3 linked regions of the Cricetulus griseus genome follow. The protein of the gene in region 3 interacts with the protein of the main gene of each other region in a pairwise test. Links are inferred from orthologs where the notes say so. Each region holds a gene or a part of one and is shown on either strand. Other genes may lie near its edges. The genes, in order: Pex10, Pex11b and Pex19.

The links.
Region 1: the proteins of Pex19 (region 3) and Pex10 interact in a two-hybrid assay, tested with the Homo sapiens proteins (4 studies listed by BioGRID and IntAct, with this or other methods). The link is inferred for Cricetulus griseus from reciprocal best matches to the Homo sapiens genes PEX19 and PEX10.
Region 2: the proteins of Pex19 (region 3) and Pex11b interact in binary tests that used the Homo sapiens proteins (3 or more experiments, as listed by UniProt). The link is inferred for Cricetulus griseus from reciprocal best matches to the Homo sapiens genes PEX19 and PEX11B.

The regions. Positions count from the first base shown.
Region 1 is NC_048595.1:1,246,596-1,254,049, forward strand, and holds the start of Pex10 (peroxisome biogenesis factor 10), read right to left. Parts: upstream 4,407-7,454; 5' UTR 4,354-4,406; coding exon 4,248-4,353; intron 3,685-4,247; coding exon 3,604-3,684; intron 2,328-3,603; coding exon 1,921-2,327; intron 552-1,920; coding exon 376-551; intron 289-375; coding exon 153-288; intron 1-152.
Region 2 is NW_023276806.1:59,862,769-59,870,222, forward strand, and holds the start of Pex11b (peroxisomal membrane protein 11B), read right to left. Parts: upstream 3,799-7,454; 5' UTR 3,776-3,798; coding exon 3,537-3,775; intron 2,630-3,536; coding exon 2,514-2,629; intron 2,166-2,513; coding exon 1,964-2,165; intron 1-1,963. UniProt on the Homo sapiens protein: Involved in peroxisomal proliferation. May regulate peroxisome division by recruiting the dynamin-related GTPase DNM1L to the peroxisomal membrane. Promotes membrane protrusion and elongation on the peroxisomal surface.
Region 3 is NC_048598.1:20,721,471-20,728,924, forward strand, and holds the start of Pex19 (peroxisomal biogenesis factor 19), read right to left. Parts: upstream 3,682-7,454; 5' UTR 3,677-3,681; coding exon 3,607-3,676; intron 2,093-3,606; coding exon 1,983-2,092; intron 1,560-1,982; coding exon 1,394-1,559; intron 624-1,393; coding exon 538-623; intron 338-537; coding exon 176-337; intron 1-175. UniProt on the Homo sapiens protein: Necessary for early peroxisomal biogenesis. Acts both as a cytosolic chaperone and as an import receptor for peroxisomal membrane proteins (PMPs).

The sequences.
Region 1 (7,454 bases), on a different chromosome or scaffold from region 3:
TTCAGTCAAACCTCAAAAGGGGAAGCTTCCCTCTGACTGGGAACTTCAACTTCAAGGATGGTTCATCCATTTTAACACCCCCAATTCAATCACTTCTCCACCCCCAATTCAAGATAGGTTTGGGAGGTGGGGTAGCATACTTGCATACATACCTTAGTGTTGCACCACTCAGTAATGCATTCCCAGCAGAAAAGGTGGCCACAAGGAGTAGCCGTGGAGTGTCTTCGTTCCTCCAAGCATAGGGTGCATAGTGGGGCTCTGCAAACAGCTCTGTCTTCCAGGGAACTCCTATGGGAGTGGGTGAGGACACAACTCAGGTGAGTGCGTCTTTCACAATCTCAGGGCATGCCAAAGCACCTCAGGCCCCCTGCACACCTGCGGTGGGACAGGTTGCGGTGCAGCCTCCACTCCTTCCTGGCTCGCTGCTTCTGCCTGAAGCTATACAACTGCAGTCCCATGGACAGTGCCAGATGTAACAGGGAGATGAGTCCCAGCAGTCGGTAGCTTGTACGAGCTCTCAGGTCCTCTCCAGGCAAGCGGCGAGTTCGGAGCTGTTAAAACAGGTAACCCCCCAACCCCGACGCCATCAGGATCCCCCTAGGACCTGGCCTCTTGTCTGCTAGGGGTTTTGTGTTCAGCCAGGCCTCCCCTTGGCACTGGGAGTGTTCAGAAAACAAGAACCAACCAGGGAGATATGTTCAAGAATTAAGTAGTGAGGGAGAACCCAAATTATAGGTTGATCTTTAGGCATTAGACCAGAACTGAGCCAGGAGGCTTAGATGGGTCAGGAAAATGGGTGAGGATTCTAGAGCTGTTTGGGGACCACTTCAGAGGAAGAGGAGGAGCCTGGGGAAGAGTAGAATGGGGAATAGTGAGGGGAACCTGGACGAGCAGATGCTGTTCCTTTTACTGAGTCCTCTGTGACAGGATCCTGTCCTTGCCTCTGCTGTAGCTAGTGATCTAACTCCCATCCACATCACAACAGAACCCTGCTGTCTTCCATTTCCTGTCCCTTCTTATGAAGACACCAGGGCACCTGATACCTCGGGCTCACAGGATAGCAGGCTCTGTCACAAACCCAGAGTCTAACATTCAGCAGCCTGACATTGGGGAGGGAGGCACAGCTGCTCAACTAAGTGACTGCTGGGGAGATTTTGTTGGATAACCCCTTGTCTGGCAGTACTGAGGTTAAACCTGAGGCCAGACTATGGTTCTCTGATGAGGGTGTGTAGGAGGGGTAATTTGACTGGAGGAAATGGCATGTGGTCCCCTCTGACAGGAACTTTGAACAGCTCTAGTGGGTGGTGGGCATGGAGTTAATACCTAAGAGGAGGTTTTGGGGGGTGACAGTATGCAAGGGCATTGGTAGAAAGCTAGGGTTTGAAAAGGTGAGAGGCAGCCAGACGCAACAACCAGGTTTACTACTGACCAAGGTCTGTGGCCTGTGGCCTGTGGTGTGAAATGGTGATGTGCTTACTGTGGGCCACTGCAGGAATATTTCTTAGACCAAGCCCCAAGACCTTGCCTTTCTGGTAGCGCTGCTGTAGGCAGGGATGAACGGGAAAGGCCAAGCTCTGGGCTAGAACCTGTACTTGACACCCCTTGGAATAGGTGCTCATCCCCCTAGGCAGTGAAATGGACATAGCCAGCCACAGGCCAATAGTGTGAAAACTGCTGTGGGGTTAGACTTAAGTCAGTGCCTGGCTCTGTTGCCGCACACACGCTGCACTTTGTGGAAACTGCACTTCCCTGGAACTTTTAGGAAAATAAAGCTGAACAAACTGCTGTTTCCCAAGTACAGGGTTTCAGTTCCAACTTGGAAACAACACTTGGCTGTGATCGTGCCATCAGCATGGGTCCCAAAGAGGCTTCCCAGAGGGCCCCAGCCCATAATCAGTTCCCCTTGGCATGGCTACTTACATAACTGATCCCTGCTAGCCTCTTGGCCAGGTGGTAGAAGGCACCATGGATATAAAACCAAGCAACATGGAACCGATGGAGGCAGGCAAGGCCCTGTCTAAGGATAAAGATTGTCCGTTGGAGCGTCCTCCTTTGCTGTTCAGACAGGGTGGCGGCATGGTGACGCACCCAGCGCCTTGCCCCTGACCGACTTCGTCCTCCAGGTAGTAGACTTCCCTGTGAAGCCCGTGTACCGTCACCATCGGCTTGCAGTTCCTGCTCTAGGGGCAGCAGTGCTTTATCTAGCAGGTAGGGCAAGACAGCATGGAGTGCAACCAGCACTCCACGGCGGAGCCTGGAGGGCACATGCTGCTGGGATGGGTCCACTTGGATGATCCCAACATACTCCTCTCCAAGTGTCTGGTAGCCTGAGGATCAATACACAGTGGTGAGGGTCCAAATGCAGGGACAAGCTTCTAGACCAGCCTACCCCCTCCCCGCCCTTCAAGCATCAGCAGTCACCCCAGAACCTGTCCTTCCAGGCTATCACCGTGAGACCTAGCCAAGGTCAACATGACTTCTTGTTAGAGCCACTGTGGTCTTTCTGTGACCCCATGATGCCACTCTAAGATAGGTCCTTGCTTCCCCTGTCGGTTCCTGTGCTCCTCAGTCTTGATTTGTGCCCAGTTTCCAGTCCCTCCTCTGCCTAACCCCTATCCCTTATCCAAGTGATGGGATCCAATCTTGTGGCTTCCTGCCTTCCAGACTATGGCTCAGTGTGGATCTGGTTCAGTCCTAAGTATGAGGTGAAAGGTCAGCTGCTTACCTGACAGTTTCACAAGGAGTCAGATAAAACACCCTCAAGCCTACCCCTGCCAAAAGCTAGCTTCTAGTTGTCCAACTTGGGAAAGTCTTGTTTTCTTGCACCCTGCAGAAGGCAAAGCCAGACCCGTGGTGTACCTTGAACTACTCTTTCCACCATGACCGTTTGTATCAACCTCTGCCCCCAGCGTGTCTGTCTGATCATGGCCTGCAGTTATCCCCTTCCCTTATCTGTATTTTGCAATGCCTCATAAAAGGTGAAGGCCTGTCTCCTGAGAGTGCCTGGCTACTTTCTTTGTCTGACCAGAAAATGCTTTCCCCTCCAGACTTGGTGTTTTGCCCTGAAGAGCTCGACACTTTTCAGGATTCCTTACAGTGTGGATACTTGGTGCTTTCTGTGTCTCCCACCACCCAGAGTGTAGTCAGCGGGGGCAGGTTACCCACAGTGACCTCTCCTGGCATCTGTCTCGTGGCATCTCCATCATTCCTTGCTGGATTTTGAGCTGGCACTGGTGACCTGAGGCCCTTACTATGGTTTCATTCTAAAGGACTACACAGAGGTTTAATTGGTCACTATGTGATGGGTCTGTACTGACTTGCCTTTTGCCACTGAGAAGTGGGTCCTGGGGTTGGGAATTTAGCTCAGTGGTAGAGCTTGCCTTGTCTATCAAGCACAAGGCCCTGGATTAGGTACTCCCCCTGGGGGTGGGGGAGTAGGATGTCCTGGATCAAGGTCCTCCTGGCTGAGGGCTGAGTGCTAGCCTCTTGTCTGGTCAGGGTCTTTCTTCCCTGAGGCTACATGTAGGTGAATTCCAGGAGCTGCTCAGAGGGTTGGGTGGATTGTGGGCCCCTCAGTGCCAAGGACCTGCCAAGTACTGCTACCTGCAATTGTTGTGAGGCCAAAGTAGGCTATGTCTGAGAGCAGTTCGATCTCTTTCCTCCATTCCAGCCATTTCTTTGCACCTGAGAGGAGAAAAACATTACCTCTAGGGATGCGAAGTGGGTTCAATAAGATTCTCTCCCCGATACCCAGGTTGGGGGGTGGCTTTAAGTCCAGGTCAAATCCCTCCTCTTCTAGGGCGATCCTCCAATACTCGCTCTCTCAGGCTCCTCTGCTTCCCTGCCCTGTCCACTCTCCCCACTGGGTTGATGTGAATGACTCCGAGGGAAGGCTACTTCCTAAGAACCTCTCAGTGTAAGTGTCTTGAGTCAGGAACTGTCCTAGAACTTAGGAGCCCTCAGGAAAGTCTAGGTAGTGCCAAGAACACAAGCCAGAGATCGATCACCTGGTTATTATCAAATCTCGGCTCTCTCAAATCCCTGCCTGTGAGATCTTTCTGAAAACATGCACAGGCCTCCCTGTAAGAGTAATAACGTTAGGTCCAACCTGTAGGGCCGTATGAGAAGTCAGTGGGCAAACGTTTGAGAACACTAAGCAGGCGCTGCCTGGCGCAGAGACCTGCAGTGTTCTGCAGTGAGTAAGTCTGTTTTGATCCTCGCTTTCCTAAGGAGCCTGGGGCGCTTACCCGCTAGGCTGTGCAGCGCGCTGCCCGCCGCGCTCCGCAGGCCTCCCAGGTAGTAATCGTCCTTCTGCGCCGCCCGGATCACTTCAGGTGCACCTGCCAGCGCCATGGCCCGAGTTGGGGAGCTCACACCGCGCCGGCGCGCCCAATGGGCGGGGCCTGTGACGCTCGACGTGCCTCGGTCGTGCGGCGCAGGCTGTGACCATCACGCGGAGGAAGGCGGGGCCTAAGCGCGACATCCTGAAAGGCGGGCAACCTACCGGAGAGGCAGGGATCGGGGGCGGGGCCTAAGGCGGAGCCACGCAGAAGGGGGTGGTGTCTGTGCTTGGGGGGCGGAGCCACGTAGTGGAATAGCCAATATCGAGAAGGATGTTGGTTCTTGGCGGGCGGGACCCTGAGAGAGCTCAGCCCCGCAGCCCCGCAGATTTGCCCTTGGCTTGATTCACGTTCAGTTCTTTTGGCAGGAGGTACATGTCTCTGGGCCTGTAGGAGTGGACACTTTTAGGACAGTCGTGTGATAGTCTCCTCCGGCTGCCCATGCCCCGGTTTCCTCGGCTTGGGTTGGACAGCCCCGGACAATACCGTTGACCACTGCCAGGAGGCAGGCACGTCTCAGGCAGAGGCACAAGCTTCTCGCAGAATCAAATACAACAGTTTGAAATGCCGGTTCCTCGAAGGCCCAAGGCTGCTTGTGTCCCTAGGAAACTTTCTTGTCTTCAAACTCAGAAGCTCGGTTCTAGCATAACTATGAGGTATGGCCTGCTCCGCGTGTCCCCTCATGGACTGCTGCTTTTCTGGATTCTCTTCTCTCAACCGTGGGGAGCAAGACCAGAAACGGTATCCCAAGTATCTGTTCCCTGGGAGATGCTTGTGCCTCTCTCCATGGGCTCAAATTCCCAACCACAGACCTCGTCTCAGCTGTTGACAGGTGTCTTGACCCTCAGGGCCCTCCCCCGTTTGTTGGTTGTTGCACATAAGACACCCACCCACTCCTAGGGTTCTTCTTAAGGGACAAACCACAGGAAGGCCAGCAGGTGGTGCCATCGGCCCATCTCTTCTACCAGCTTGGGTAGCTAGGGACTATTACCCCAGAGACATCCAGCACAGGTTAGGAAACAAGTGGCCCTTCAGCAAGGAGAGGAAGTGGATGGGCAGGAAGAGTAGTGCCATCATTCTAAATCAATTCTCCGGGTTCCCAGGTGACCATATGGCCTGGGGGCCCTCTTTGCTTTTCAGTGTTCCGGGGTTTAAGTACTCTGACGTGGTGGTAGAGTGAGAGTTCTCTCTAGGGGACAGGATATGCCCCTTGTCACCTGCCTTTGATCACTCTTTGCCTGAAGCACAGGGGTCCTGGGCCTGAGCCTTGTGACTAGCTCCTTGTAAACTTTTTCCTCTGCTCCAAGAATGGAGGACAGGAAGACCAGGCTCCTGAGGCTTTTAGGGAAGGCACCAGAGGTGTGGGTCAAAGTGGTTGACAGGTCTAGTCTGGCTTTGACTCACCTCTGGGCTCCTTGAGGGCCACCCCAATCCCTGAACCAAGTGTCATTCCCTGTTATCAATTGTAGTGGGGGTCCCTGGGGACACTGCACTGGAGCGATTTTGGACTGGCCTTTGACTTGCCGCCCCCCCCCCCACTAGCCCAGTACCAGGGTGCCATCAACAAGGGACAATGTGTGTCCTGCACATTCCTTCACTTGGTGGGTCTCGGCTTTCCGGTCTGTAGCTCAGGAATAATGGTGGTGTTGAGAGCTGGTGTTGAGAGCCCACCATGCTAGCGCTGAGCACTTGCATTGTCTGGGCTTAGAGATGCAGGTGGGTCATGGATCTGGGACAGGATACAGTTCTGCATCTCTTCTAACACAGGAGCTTCTGGGGCAAAGGTCAGCCATCCTAGGAGCAGTGTTCACAGTTTTGCCCCTCAACAACTTCTTCTTCTTCTTTTTTTTTTAGTTATTATTAATATGTTATTTTATTTATTTTATTAGTTCAAATTAGGAACAAGCTTGCTTCAGATGTCAATCCCTTCCCCCTCTCCCTCTCCTCCCCCCAACATCCCACCTGCCCCTAGCCATCCCCCCTACACTCCCCAGGCAGGGTAAGGCCCTCAAAAGGGATTCCCCAAAGTCTACCACATCATCCTGGGCCAGGCCTAGGCCCTTCACAACTTCTATATTCTTCATACACTGGGTATTTTGTTGTCTTGCCTGATGTTCTTTGCCAGGAATGCTAGCTCTGGCCACTTTGTTTTCTAATTTTATTAAATAATTAAATTTACCGTGTGTGTTATATGCATATGTATGTATGCATGTTTGCATATGCATGGGCATATGTATGATGTGTGTGATGTGTGTATGTGTGTGTGTGGTGTGTAATGTGTATGTGTGTGTATATGCGTGTTGATGTGTGTGTGTATGTATGTGTGTGTATGTGTGTGTGATGTGTATGTTTGTGTATATGTGTGTGTGTGTGTGTGTAATGTGTATGTGTGTGTATATGCGTGTGGTGTGTGTGTGTGTGTGTTTGGTGTGTGTGTAATGTGTATGTGTGTGTATATGCGTGTGGTGTGTGTGTGTGTGTGTGTGATGTGTATTGTGTATGTGTGTGTATATATATGTGTATGTATGTGTGTGTGATGTGTATGTGTGTGTAATGTGTATGCGTGGTGTGTGTGTGTGTGTGTGTGTGTGTGTGTGTGTGTGTGTGAGGTGGTGGTGCTGGTGCAGGATATCTGGCATCACTCTGGATTGCTCTTCCACTGTATTCATTGGAACAGGGTCTTTCAGTCAAACCCAGAGCTTGCCCATATGTCTAGTCTTGTTACTTAGCTTGCTCTGGGAATCCCCAGTGACTGCCTTACAAGGGTGAAATTACAGGTGGGTCATCTCACCCATCAGATGAGCTCTGGGTTCTGACCTGTGGTTCTCTTGCTGGTACAACAAGCACTTTATCCATTGAGTTCTATACCCAGCCCTATCTGATCTCCCCGGCCCATAGTTCTGTTGATAGGGAGGCCAGGGAACTGGGAGGGGATACTCAGGAGGTGTCCCTATTACTTCTGCTCTGTGTCCCCCCCCCCCAGGTTATCCCTTCCAGCACTACCTAGTAGACTGCTAAATGAAATGAATCAGCACACATAAGCTTTCCTTTGCCTGAGTCTGATTCCTTGTAAACTCTTACCTCTGCCTCTTGAAGGGATTTATTGCTTTGGTG
Region 2 (7,454 bases), on a different chromosome or scaffold from region 3:
CTTGTAGAACTGTGTTATCTCAGTCCTATGAGACCCCTATATCACCAAAGGAAAGGAAACTAGACATGCTAACTCATCTCTAATCCTGTCCTAAACTGGGGAGGGGGAGTCTAAAGCAGGAGAATCCTGAGTTCAAGGCTAAATTAGGCTATGTAGTGAGACCTATAATAACAATAACAATAACCTCAAAAACAACAACAAGATAAAACAAAAACTGAACAAACAAACAAACAAAAAAACTGGCAAGATGACCCAGCAGGGTAAAGGCTCCATTACCAAATGTGATGAACTGAGTTCAACCTTGAGATCCACATGGTGGAAGGAGAGAATCAGTCCTTGCAATCTGTCCCACACACACACACTGTGGCAATGCAACCTGCCCCATCACACACACTAATAATAAATAAAAATATTATTTTGTTTTTTTTTCAAGACAGAGTTTCTCGGTGTAGCTTTGGAGCCTATCCTGGCTCATACTCTATAGACCAGGCAGGCCTTGAACTCACAGAGATCTACCTTGCCTCTGCCTCCCAAGTGCTGGGTGTGTGCCACCACCACCCAGCTAATAAATAAAAATATTAAGAGAAAATGAATAAATGAGTAGGAAGGCAATGAGAGTAGACTATGGTTTAGACATAGTTAAAGTAATACAATATTTATCATCTCCAATCTCAGCCACTTATTATGGTATAGCAAATCTAACTTCCATCTGATAGTGTTACTCTTTTACGGTTTAAGATACAAGTGAAGATTGGAAACCAAATGGTCAATTAAGATAGCTATTTGTCACAGCACAGTGGCATGCAACTTTAGTTCCAGCACTTTGGAAGCAGAGTCAGGTAAATCTCTGTGAGTTCAAAGCCAAGATAGTCTATATAGTGAGTCAACCAGGGATATATAGTAAGACCCTGTCTCAAAAACAGACAAAAAATGAGTAATATATAGATAGTCCTTGCATCCATGGAAGATTAATTCTGGGATCCTACACTCAGCCCACTCACCCAAATTCTACCCAAATCCATAGCTGCTCAAATCCCTCAGATAAAATGGTATTGCATTTATATATAACCTACACAATCCTTTGTATCTACCTCCAGATATTTTAAAATATCTAATACAATAAATATGTAATGTAAAGAAATGTTATACTATACTGTTTAAGGAATAATGACACAAAACACTTTCACATGTTCAATTCAGATGCACTTTTCCCCTTGACATTTTCAATCTGTGGTTGCTTGAATCAAAAGATGTGTAAACAGCCGGTGTTGGTGAAACACCTTTAATCACAGCACTTGGGAGGCAGAGGCAGGCGGATCTCTGTGAGTTTCAGGCCAGCCTGGTCTCCAGAGTGAGTGCCAGGATACGCTCCAAAGATACACAGAGAAACCCTGTCTTGAAAAACAAAACAAAACAAAACAAAAACAACAACAACAACAAAAAAAAAGATGGGCGCCAGAAGAAGGGCGCCAGATCTCATTACAGATGGTTGTGACCCACCATGTTGTTGGAAATTGAACTCAGGACCTCTGGAAGGGCATGCAGGATTCTTAACCTCTGAGCCATCTCTTCAGCCCATTCTTTTTAAACACACACACACACACACACACACACACACACACACACACACACACACACATATATATGGGCTAGAGTGATGGTTTAGTGGGTAAAAGCACCCCTCTCTTCCCAAGGACCTGGGTTTTGATTCCCAGAACCCACATGACAGCTCACAACCATCTATAACTCCAATTCTGCTGCCCTCTTTTGGCCTCTGCCAGCACCAGGCACACAAATGGTGCACAGACATACATGCAGGCAAAACATCCATACACATAAAGTAAAATATTTAAATGTTGGGGTGTGTGTGTCTGTGTCTCTGTGTGTGTGTGTGTCTATGTGTGTGCAAGCTATAAGGAACGGAGGCCATAAATAGTTTTGTAGGAGAAAACAAAAATCAAACCTGAATGAACGCTGTGCCCACTTTTCCTGGTCCACACGGGGAGCTAGTCCGGACTTTCCAGCCCACAGAACATTGTCACAGGCAAAGTATAAGGCTCGATTGAGATGACTAACAGTGATGCAGAATCTCAGGACAACATCCGATAGGTGCACAGCTCTTTTGGCTGACTCAAGAGCATCTGCCGAGTTACCCAGGCGTAGCACTTGTGGAGAACAGGGGAAAGCAAGGGATTTGAAGTAAAGAAGCAAAGGTGGGGGTGGAGAAAAAAGTAAAGAAAGAAAAAAGTAAAAGTCGAGAAACAAGAATAACATACAATAAGGGTAAAAATAATTTGTTCTTTTTTAAAAATTCAAATTGTAATTAATTTTTGTCCCCAGTTTAGGTTTTTTTCACTTGCCCCATTCTCTCCAAGCCATGTGTGTACTTTCTTATACCTGTTGTCTTAACTCAGTTGGAGGCATGCAGAAGAGCCAAATGATGGCAAACTAGCAGAAAGGGAAAATACAGGAAGGAGAGGCAATGGGCTGATAGAAAGGTTTGTTTTACTTACGCTTTCTTCCAAGGCTCAGATGACCCTCCAGTTGTCGAATCTGTTTCTGCAATTCGGGACTGGCCCCATGTCTCTGCAAAGCATGTCCAAGAAGGGAACAGGCATACTGGGCAGCCCTGGAGGGGAGAACAGGAAAAGTAAGGGACAGGCCTCCCTAACCTCTCTGCCAAAAAATGCCCTCCAGCCGGATGGTGAGGCAGTTAAGAGCACTTGTTCTTGGAGAGGGCAACGGACCCGGTTGCATTCCCAGCACCCACATTGTGGCTCACAACCGTCTGTAACTCCAGTTTCCAGGGCATCTATCACCCTCTTCTGACCTCTGCAGGCACCAGATACACATGTGGTGCACATACAAACTTGCAGATAACATGCTCAGACAAATAGTAACCAATCTGAAAACAACAACTCCTCCGGGGACATTTCCTCCTTTTCACACCAATCTTTCCGTTTTTCCTCAAAGCCAGGGGGAAGGGAACGACATAAGGGGAAAATAAAGCCTATTGAGAAGGTGGAGATCACTATTTGGGGTTAGGAGAGTAAAACGGTGAGGCCTAAGCAGCCGGGATCCATCACAAGCGTCCACGCGCGAGTTTATATATGAAACACGGCAGAGAGCGATCTAGCTGAAGGGCGGATTATTCCTCCGGATAGGTGAACTAAGAGATTAAGGTCCTTGAACTGTATGGGACCCGAAGGAGAGCCGAGACAGCGCTGCTCCTAGGTGACAGCCGGTGAGAGGACGCAGAACCGGGAAGATCGCCCCTCATGCCACCAGGGCAGTGAGGAAACTGTTGCGCTTTGTGGACACGGTAACCCTGGACGGCCTCCCCGCTGGCCCACTCATGCCTCAGTTTCCCCATCTTTCCCGTGAGCAGGAATCATCTCACAACCGGCTACAGAGTGCGCCTCCCGGGCCGCGCAGGCCCCCGTAGCCACAGCTGACCCTTAGGGACCCCGTAGCGCGCCCGTCGCCTCGCGGGCACCTGCTCTGCCCTCCCGCCCGAGCTCCTCCGTCGGCCGCACCTACACAGCCGCTCCCGGGCTTGGCTCTGCGCGCTGAAGCGGACCCAGGCGTCCATGACAGCGGCAGCCCGGGCCCACGGCGCCGCAGCCCGCCCGCTTCCACCCCTAGTCACGCCTCCCGGGCGAGCAACGGGGCTTCGCGAGGGACAAACGGCGGCAGGAAAGCCAACCAGCGGGAGCCGGCCCTGTGGCGGAGTTTCAGGACGCGAAGCGAGATCGTGGCTGCATTTCCGGCACATCACCCCCTCCGGGAGGGTCTGCAGCCTCTAAGCACGCCCTCGGGAGCACATTCTGCTTTAACGTCTCAGCAGCAAGGGGCGGGGCCTGCGGGAGCTCGGAGGCGCTGTAGGGTGTCGGCCAAGGCAATCTATCTTATCCCTATCCCACTGTGGGCAATGAAGAGCCCAGGGCAGCAGAATCCTGTAGCCCAGACTAACGGTCCAAGGGAACGAGGGTGTGATGAGATCCCGTTTGGCAATTCCTCTCCCATAGATGATGAATAGTCCAGGGGCAGAATTAAGTGGACGGAATTCACAGGCTACCACATCTGCAGGCCCTGGCACACTTTCGGGGTCAGCAGTGGTGAAGGACGGTCTGGGCAAAATTACAGGAGTGGAAATAGGTCAGAGATGCCCACCTTCTCAGAGGTAGCAAGGTCCGAATGGGAGTGACCATTGTTGTGCTCTGCGTTACTCTGCTGGAAGAAACCTGGCTGTGCTGTGGTCAGCCGCACACCAGTGATGCAGCCAGCTCCATCCCTTCCCAGCTCCACTACTCTTGACTCATGAACCGTTGCCAACTTAACGGTCACTTCTGCGGTTATGCCCCTACATGTTTGTTACCTGAAATATTCTTGTCCATTGTATTTGGAGATGTCGCATGTTAGACCCCATGCCTCTAAAAACTAATTGCCATGTGGGTGGCCTTCCTGCCTTGAAGCTTTAACCCAGCGCTCAGGTGGAAGGTGTAGACAGTGTGTAAAAGAAATGTACCGGGGCAGGCACACACCGAGGGACAGACACCACACCACCTGGCTTCTTGCTTGCCTTAGGTGAGGTGTCAGGGCTGCAGGCTGGGCCATGGATCCTCAGAGAGGGAGCCTCTGCTCCCTCCTGGGAAGTTCATTTACATGCTAGACCTACATTTTGCTGGATGTGATGGCAAATACCTGTAACTCCAACACTTAGGAGGCAGAGACAGGAGACCATTGAAAGTTTAAAGAAAATTAATTTATCTATAGAGCTCCATTCAGTCCAGCCAGAGCTACACATTGAGACCCTGACTTTTTAAGAGAAGGGGCAGGTGCTGGCTTGGTAGTTAAAGAGTGCTTACTGCTCTTTCGATGCCCTGGGGTTCAATTCCCAACGTGCACATGGGTGCCCACAACTGTCTCTAACTTCAGTTGTAGATCTGATGCTCTCTTCTGGCCTCCATGGGCACCAGGAATGCATGTGATTCACACATGTACACATCAAGCTGACATTCATACATGGAAAATACAATTCTTTAAAAGCACTACCCTATTACATGCATCTGTCTCTTCCCTCAGGCTGGCTTTGCGGTGCTTGATTTCCACTCCGCATCCCTGTACCACCTCCTCTAGGATACTGGTGCAAAAAATTCCAGGGCAGAGAAAGGCAGGTCTATTAAGAATGACATTAGTGGGCATAGTCGCACACAACTTTAATCCCAGCCCTGGGGAGGCAGAGGCAGGTGGATCTCTGAGTTCAAGGCCAGCCTGGTCTACAGAGCTGGTTCCAGGATAGCCAGGGCTACACAGAGAAACCCTGTCTGAAAAGGAGAGAAGAAGGAAGGAAGGAAGGAAGGAAGTCTGGCTAGAGATGACTCAAAGAGTACTTATTCTTGGAGATGGCCCAGGTTCAATTAATTCTCAGCACACACATGATGGCTCACAACCATCTGTAACTCTAATTCCAGGGGACCTAACACCTCCTCTAACCTCAGTAGGTACCAGTTATGCACATGATACAAACATGTAAAGAAAAACACCATACACGTAATTTTTTTTTTAAGTCTGAAGCTTTGGGTTAAACTGTTTTTTATTCCATTCAAGAAATAATGTCCATGGGGCTGGAGAGATTGCTCAGAGATTATGAGCACTGACTGATCTTCCAGAGGTCCTGAGTTCAATTCCCAACAACTACATGGTGGCTCACAGTCATCTATAACAAGATCTGGCATGTAGGCATGAACAGTGTACATGTAATAAATACATTTAAAAAAAAAGAAAGAACGTCCATCAACTCTTGAGTATACTCCACTTTGACAGGTACTTAAGAGAACTGCCTGCTTGGTATGCCCAGCCACGTTAGGAGTTAAAGAGTGGAATGTCTATCTAATCTACTCTTGAAATCCAGGAAAACTCTGTAAAGACTAAGATGTAAAACAAGTGCATGTGGGTCTCACATGTTACTTCTAAAGTTGAGGATTAGAAAATGCGTGCAAGACGAAAGGTGGGCCAGGTTAGAGTCTGTGTTCGTCCTGAGGCAAGAACAGACACACTACAAGGTGGAGGGTGACATATTCAGCTTGTAAATTTTCATTAACTTGATACCTATTAAAATTAGACACTGTAGTGTATGCCTGCAATTCCAACACTCTGGAGACAGAGGTAGGAGGACCACTTCAAGGCCAGCCTAATCTGTGTCGTAAACTTCAGGTCCACAAAGAGTGATATAGCAAGACCCTGTCGCTAAAAGACTTAATCTCAAATCATAAAATATCAGAAATGTAACACAAGCCTGACTAACTGGTTTGCACCTATCTCAACAACCCAGCACTGGAGGGAAATGTAGTCAGTTAGCTGAGTTCCAGGCTAGCCTGATCTAATTAGTTTTAAGACCTTGCCTAAAAAGTAGCAGCAGCCACAGCAAAAGCTTGACATATATATATATATATATTTTTTTTTTTGGTTTTTTGAGACAGGGTTTCTCTGTGTAGCTTTGGAGCCTATCCTGGCACTCGCTCTGTAGACCAGGCTGGCCTCAAACTCACAGAGATCCACCTTTGACTTATAGTTCTAAGGCAGAAAAAAAAAATTACTGTTACAAACAAGGTCTCCACCACCTATTATTATAAAGGCACCTAGGGCTGAAGAGTTGGCTCAGTGGTTAAGAACACTGGCTGTGGCACACGACTTTAATCGGGAGGCAGAGGCAGGTGATCTCTGTGAATTGAGTCAGCCTGGTCTACAAAGCTACACAGAGAAACCCTGTCTGGGGGGGGGGGGGGATTGGCTACTCTTCAGAGGACATAGATTCAATCTGGGCACCCACATGGCAGCTTACAACCATCTGGGATCTGGAACCCTGATCTGACTCTGCAACAGGCACATATGTAATGTACAAACACACACGCAGGCAAAACACTCATAAAATACACAGCTAAATATTAAAAAGAAAACTACTGGGACATGTGGCATACATTCAGACACATATAAATTAAAAGTTTTTATGGTATAAAGAATGGTATTAGGAATGGCAGGAAATTACTTATTCCTGTAAGTTCAAGTTTCAAAGTTAAAAGGAGGGTTTTTTTTGTTTTTTTTTTTAAAGGAGGGTTTCTACTGTACATGGTTAAGTTCTGTAGGAGAAAGGAAAGTTAGAAGACCACACAATCAACCAGTGAGTTTCCCCTTTTTACCTCCTCTCCCCAGAGACAGATCTCTTATAGCCCAGGCTGACTGCCAACTGCCCATGTAGCTGAGGATGAATCAACTTTCCATTCTTCAGTCTTCACCTCCCAAGTTAGTACTAGGATTATGGGAAGGAGCCACCATGTCCATTTTATGTAGTTTTGGTCAACACAACTCAGGGCTTGTGCATATCAGACAGACATTCTACCGGCTGAACCACATCCCTACCCCTCTGAGCTGTTTTTGTTTTTGTTTTTGTTTTT
Region 3 (7,454 bases):
GATCACCTATGTACCTTTATTCCCTCAATAACTTCTTCTACTTCCGACAAAGAGGAGTTTAAAAGAATGCACTTGTACACTCAAATTGCCCTTTTACTATGCATTGTCTGAGCAGAGTGGCCCACGGTTGACATAATGAAGTGAGGAGAAAAGGCAGAAGTGGAAACTCACACACCTTTTCCGTGATCTCCTTCAGGGACGGGTACAGTACATCCTTAGACAGGAGGTTCTGCATGATGCTCTGCATGATGGGGAGGATGTTCCCATCCCCGTCCCCGTCATCCATGCCCAGCCCTTCCATGGCTTTGGTCAGTTCCTCTTCAGACATGCCTGAGTTCTAGACAAGACAAAAGAGAGGCCAACAGGTTACACTGCCTTCCTGGAATGCTTACCACTCTTTTAGGTTCAAAGAACTATCTAGATGTGCCTGTAACAAAAATCAAGGCAGGGTCAGATTTGAGGAGATACCCTAGAGCATCTACTTTGTGAGACTGCTCAGGAAGCATCTGGGAGTGGACCCCTATTCCTTCCCTTTACCTGAAGGTCAGTGGCATTTTTGGCTAGCCCACTTAATGTCTCCTTTAGGCAAGAAGTAAATTCTTGTTGAGAGTTTGCATCACTGCCTAGGAGAAATGAAAAGAACCAGGATTACCTAGGAGTTTAATTGTCAGCTTGTCTAGACTGACCTACTTACCAGCTTGGATATAAAGCATTTACTAGCAAACTACTAATACATCAAAATCTTACCTATTCTTTTTGGTCACCTTCATGGTCATGCCATAAATCTATATAGATTATGTGCTAATTGTTCTGCACAGTAACACTCACAACACTGTCTTTTCAAAGGGCTAGTTTGGGATAATCTTATTTATTTATTTATTTACTTTGGGGGGGGGAGGGGGGTTGAGACAGGGTTTCTCTGTGTAGCTTTGGTGCCTGACCTGGAACTAGCTCTTGTAGACCAGGCTGATCTCAAACTCAGAGATCCACCTGCCTCTGTCTCCTGAGTACTGGGATTAAAGGTGTGTGCCACCAATGCCCCGCTATTTACTTTTAAGACAAGGTCTTACTATGTAGGTCTAGCTGTCCTGGAACTCAATATGTAGATCATAGTGAGTTCCTCAAACTCACAGAGATCCATTTGCCTCTGCCTCCCATAGATTAAAGGAACATGCTACTACACCTGGTTGAAATAATCTTTTTTTTTTAATTATTTTCCAAAATATCTTAACCTTTTCTTACAGTAAGCAAGATCTGATTCCCACACTTGTTTTTCTTGCCTTGCTCCACTCCATGGCTGTAACATTATAATCAATGTTATCAATGTTACAATCCTGGTATTCTAGAGCAATAAAGAGGTCTGTCCAGTATATTTTGTTTGGGGTTTCCTCACCCACTCTCCCAGCTGCCTCTGAGAGCTTCTGGAACTGTTCCACCAGGTGGGGCTCTTCTTCAGCCAGCTCCTTCATTGCCTTCTCAAACTCTGCAGTGGCTTGGGAAGCCAACTCACTATCGAACAGTTCCTGGAAAAACTTCTCTTGGGAGGCGAAGAGGGCATCCTGCAGTGGAGAGGTGGACAAAATTCATCTCTTACAGCACCACCCTGAGTCTAGCCCTCTATGGGAGCTCAGGTAGTGGGCTTGGAAAATGAAACATCAGCCCCACAGACACCTCCACTGAACATTCTATCTGCCTCTTCTTCTCGGGAGGGCAGCAAGCAAAGAATCTGGACACTGAAGGAATAGTGTGAGGTAGCATACAAATCCAATCACTAAAAACTGCTCTTTTCTCAAAGTGCTTCTTTGCTACCCCTCAGTACAACCCCAGGTCCTTGTTTCACAGGAGCTGAGGCCTGGAAGAACACCCAGCAGTTCCAGGCAAAGGCATCCTCCCACCCACCCTTCTGGCCCATAGGGGCCTGCCCCACCCCTGCTCTGATTTGCATGCCCATCCCCCCTCCCTTAAGGGGGTGGGATTTATACTTTGGCAGTGTCTCCTGGCGATTTCTTCTGGGGTCCTGAAGCATCGGGGGCCGAGGTGGTAGGAGGGGGTGCTGGGGAGGGTTTGGCTTTATCGAAATCATCAAGAGCACCTTTGGAAACAAGAGACATGGTGGGTATGTTGGGGATAGATAAGGCTAGCAAGCTGCAATTCTGAGCAAACTGTCAGGAACATAATCATATAGAGTGCCAGCTTCCTTGAACTCCCCTCTTTTCCTGGTGTCTCCCCTGCCTGGTCCACTGACCAACAAACAGGTTTCCCACATTCCTTGGGAATCATCTAACTTATTATGAATAGCTGGCAAGAAAGAAAACCCTTTACATAAAGCCAGTGTTCATCTTAGAACTAGGGAGAAAGGATGAAATAAGCTGCGCAGAGAGAAATCTCTATATGCATGCTATAAAATTCCCTAAAACCACACACAGTTATCTAACATGAAGAGAGGGAGAGATACTTATTTCTTTGAACCCACTCTGAGGCATTAACGGCAATATCCTCTTGTAAGAAAGCACAGGGTATCCCACCCAACTCTCCATGGGCCCTACTACTCGTACAAACTCCACCCGTCCTACAGGAGGGTAGTAAGCTCTGAAGTTATGTTCAATTCAGCAGGCACCTACAGCTACTCCCCTTGGCCTTATAAGCAGTAACCCTGGGCCAATGGAGTCACTTGCCACGCCTCATTAAATCTGTTCATTCTCTCCCTGCCTAGGTCGTTGTGACTGAGCAACAGATAAAAGGTTCACCTCTGCCCTGAAAAGCCTGTGTTGTCACCACCACTCTGCTTGCCAGGACTAGTGAAAGGGCACCGGCCTCACTCTGGGCAGGAAACCAGGGTGGAGGGCAAGAGTAACAAACATCCACCATCACTTCAGGAAGATGAAATGTTTCCCCCTGGGATTGGCTCACTGTCAGTTTCTCCAAAAGGATGAAAAAGGATGTCAGGCATGCTGGCATGGAGAGGCAGGGGCCGGGAAAATCACAAGTTCAAGGCCATCTCTGAGTCTGAGGCCAGCCTAGACGACACGAGACAGTCTCTCAAACCAACAATAATTTTCGAAGTAGTCTCCTTGAACTACTTACACAAAAGAACCAAGGGCCTGGTAAAGAATGAGGAAAGACTGTGAGGTAAAAGGAGTTAGGAAAGACACTTTTGGGTTAAGAAAGAGACTACGACGGACATAAGGACCCTTGGAGTTACTCTGTTCTGTGAAGGTTGCTACTGACAGGGGAGGAGATTTCAATAATTCACTAAAGCCGGTCCTGGCGGTTGCAGCCTGTAATCTCAGCACTCCCATAGGCTGAGGCACGAAGACGGTCGCGAGTTCAAAGCCAGCCTCAAAAACAATCCGACACTCTAAAGCAAGACCAGTTTTGGCGGGGGTGGGGGTGTCCGCAGAGAGATTTGAGGTCTGGACTGATCAGTGACCAAGGCGAACACACAGCTCCCGCTGAGGCGGAGGGCCGGCCGGGGTCGAAGTCAGACCACCTCCCCCGCCAACCACTGGAGAGATTCCCCCGCTCCGCCCCAAATCTCAAGTTCCCTTAACCCCGCAGAGGGTCCTCGCCCCCGACCCCTCTGGCCTTCCCGCCACGGGCTCTTACTTTCCAGAAGCTCCTCCAGTTCCCGGTCCGCTTCGACCCCAGCATCGCAACCTTCCTCAGCGGCCGCCATCTTGCTGCCTCCGACTTGCCGTAGGAGGTGGAACCACTGGCGCCACCACACGTCCCGCCCCTAACCCCGCCCCTGTGACTTTGTGCAGCCAATGATATCGCTCTACTGTGCAGGACCGCCATTTTTAAAGGGACAGGAAACCGTGGCTTTCGTTGGTTGTTGTTGTTTTTATTTTTCTTCTGAGAAGCAACCTCGGTCCTCGCACGAACTAAGCCAGCACTCCACCCCCGGAGCTACAGCCACGGCGGTTGGACTTGAACTAGATCTGTTGCGCAGGCTGGTCTAGAAATCGGGCGCCTCCCGCCTCCATTTCCCAAATGCCCGACCCACCAGGCCCAGCTTGAGGTGGGGGCCGGGCTGAGGGGCTGAAGAGGCGAGAGGATCTGTTTGTTAACTTTCCCTTTCGTCCGGAGAGGTTTTGTTTTCAGGCAGGTTCTTCTTGTCCTACTGCCTCCTCCTCCAGAAGGAAGAGATTACACCACAAGATTTAGCTAAACCCGGAGCTAAAAAACTCCCGGTAACGTGCATTTTTTTTTTTAAGGCTAAAAACAGAATTGTCAAATTGAGGCAATTTCAAAGCCTGCATGGTAGGGGAGATTTTTTGTTTGTTTGTTTTCAAGACAGGGTTTCTCTGTGTAGCCCTGGCTGTCCTGGGACTCGCTCTGTAGACCAGGCTGGCCTCGAACTCACAGAGATTCACCTGCCTCTGCTGTGCTGGGATTAAAGGTGTGTGCCACCCCCCCACCCTTAGGAGAGACTTCTACCCATGCCCTGGACTCTGACCTCCACATGTGCTCCTTGACACAAAACAGATAGATAAACAAAATAATGATTGCCAAATCTATTTTTAGCACGTAGTGAGCATCTACAGTTGTATACAATCTTATGCTAGGCACAATGAAATATACAAATAAATCCGAGTTGGTCCTGCCTGTAAGGGCTGACTGGAGGTAGAATTGGAAACACAGTTAATAGAATTCAGACAGACTCAAACACAAACATAATTCTTTCTCTGCATTATTTCCTTCTCTGTTGTGTGTGCATTTGTTTTGTTTTACCGAGACAGGGTTTCTCCGTGTAGCCCTAGCTGTCCTGGAACTCACTCTGTAGAACCAGGCTGTCTTCAAACTCAGAAATCACCCTGCATGTGCCTTCAGAGTGCTGGAACTAAAGACGTGTGCTACCACGCCCGCTCTGCTTTCTATTCCTCCTTCTGATAGTCCTAACATCCTACCGCAATGTAACTCACCCCTCACTGCTCTTTCTGACTTCCTAATACATAGTGAATACTGACAAAACCGTATTTCATAGTACCCCCTCTCCTTTCTTGCTTGAAGAGGCTCATTTAGCTCAGGCTGACCTAGATCCTCATCCTGTTGCCTACACACCCCAAGTACCAGTATTACAGATACTCACTGCCATGCCCTATTCTGCTCATATATTTTTTTTAAGATTTTATTTATTATGTATACAACATTCTGCTTCTATGTACATCTGCACACCAGGAGAGGGCACCAGATCTCATAACGGATGGTTGTGAGCCACCATGTGGTTGCTGGGAATTGAACTCAGGACCTCTGGAAGAGCAGTCAGTGCTCTTAACCTCTGAGGCATCTCTCCAGCCCCTCTGCTCATATTTTTTTCATACTGTTTAAGGACTTAATGGCTCTCCACTGCTTATGATTAACTTCAGACTTTTGACTGATAGAATTATTTCATATATATCCATTCTTCTTTCCCAAGTTAGGTAAGTGACAAGAAGCAGAGATTATCAACTGGGTTCACAATACTTACTTTAGAATGTTTGTGTACAGTTTTGTGATTTAATTTGTAAACTTACAAAAAAAAAGACCCTTATTTTTAGACAGGGTCTCACTATGTAGCACTGGCTGGCCTAGAACTTAAAAGATCATCCTGCCAAGACTTAAAAAATATTTTTAATTATTTAAAATTGTGTGTGCGCACATACGCATTTGGGTGTGTGTTTGTGAGTGCACTTCCTGTTAGGAGCAAGAGGTGACAAATCCCTCTGGAGCTAAGAGTTATAGGTGGTTATGAGCCACCAGGTGTGGATGATGGGAACTGAACTCTAGTCCTCTGCTAAGCCATTTCTGTAACCCCCAAGATGTCGTTCTTGAGACGGTCTCACTCTTTAGCCAAGGCTAGCCTTGAATGTGAGACAATTGTTCCGCCTCAGCCTTCCAAGAATTTTAATTATAGGTGTAAGCCACCATGCCTGATTCTTGCCTGTACTTGCAGGAAGGATGTTTAAAACTTGAGAAAATATTTTTATAGTATACAGGTTTTTGAGAAAGCAGCCTTAGTTTGAGGATTATATTTAAGACAGCAACTCTTAGATCTGACAACATAAAAGTCCTGTGATCTTTGAAGCAGGTATTCCTTTTGTAGTTCAGCCTCAGGGATACTTTCCCCACCCATACAATGTGTGTTCAAGTTTATTTATTGCAACAACGCTGATAATTGCAAAAGACTGCATAACCCAGATACTATAGACACTTTCATAACTTAAAATATGCAGTGAAAAAACTAGTATGTATACTAGTTTTAAAGCAAAATGTTCAAGACCTGTCTCAGAAATAACACAAAGAACCTGGTACACACTTTGCACATCTTTTCCCCAGTGGATATAGATAGCTCAGTAGTAGAATGCTTGCCTGTCATGTGCAAAACCCTGGGTTCAATTCCAGTCACTAAACAAAATTTCTGCATCTATCTAGTTTTTGAGAACGGTGTGTGCTACCCTATGTAGTGCTAGGAACTAAGTCCAGGACCCTGTACATACTAAGCCAGCACTCTACAATGGAGCTACATCTCCAGCTGTGTGCTTGTGTGGATCTACACGTGGGGTTGTGCATGGGAGCGCAGGTGCCTGTGAAGGCTCAAAACCCTGGCTCTCCTGGAGCTGGAGTTACTGGTGATAGAAACTGAACCTGGGCCCCCTGGAAGAACTATGCTTGCTCTTAACTGCCGAGCCACATGTTAGCCTATTTTGTTGTTTTTGAGATAGGGTAGTCCAGGCAGGCCCTGAAATACCCGGAGTTATCCTGAACTTAAAAAAAAAAAAAATGATTATTTTGTGGTTGAACGTTTTGATGGGTGTATAGATTTGTGCACCATGTGCTGTGCCTGTGGTTACCAGAAGGGTGAGTTAGAACACCTGGAACTGAAGTTATAGATGGTTGGAATTGAACCTGTGTACTCTGAAGAGCAGCCAATGCTCTTAACTGCTGAGCCATCTCTCCAGTCTCTGGTCTTCAACTATTTTTTTTTTTTTTTTTTTTTTTTTTTTTTTTTTTTTTGAGACAGGATTTCACTGTGTAGACCTTGGCTGATCTGGAACTCACTATGTAGACTGAGCCAAGTTGGTATTGAATTCACAGATTTGCCTCTGCCTCTGAACTGTTGGGATTAAAGACCTGAGCTGGTCTTAAACTTTTGATCCTGTTTTAACCTTCTAAGTGCTATAGAACAGATGGAGCCACCAGACTGGGTCTGAATGCTTATATTTTAAATCAAAGGAGTAATATATCATCTATCCATTACTCAGTATAGAAGCAAAATGCCCTTCTGACAATTGTGATAGTTCTATGAATATGACATAATTTAGAATCACCTGGTAGAAGGACCTCAGAGAATGTCTGTTTAGAATTATGTGCCCACCGTGGGCAGCAGCATTTGCTGGGCCTGAGGTCCTGAATTTAAAGGAGAAAGCTGCCTGCCTCTGCCTTCAGAGTGCTGGTACTGAAAAGAGGTAGAC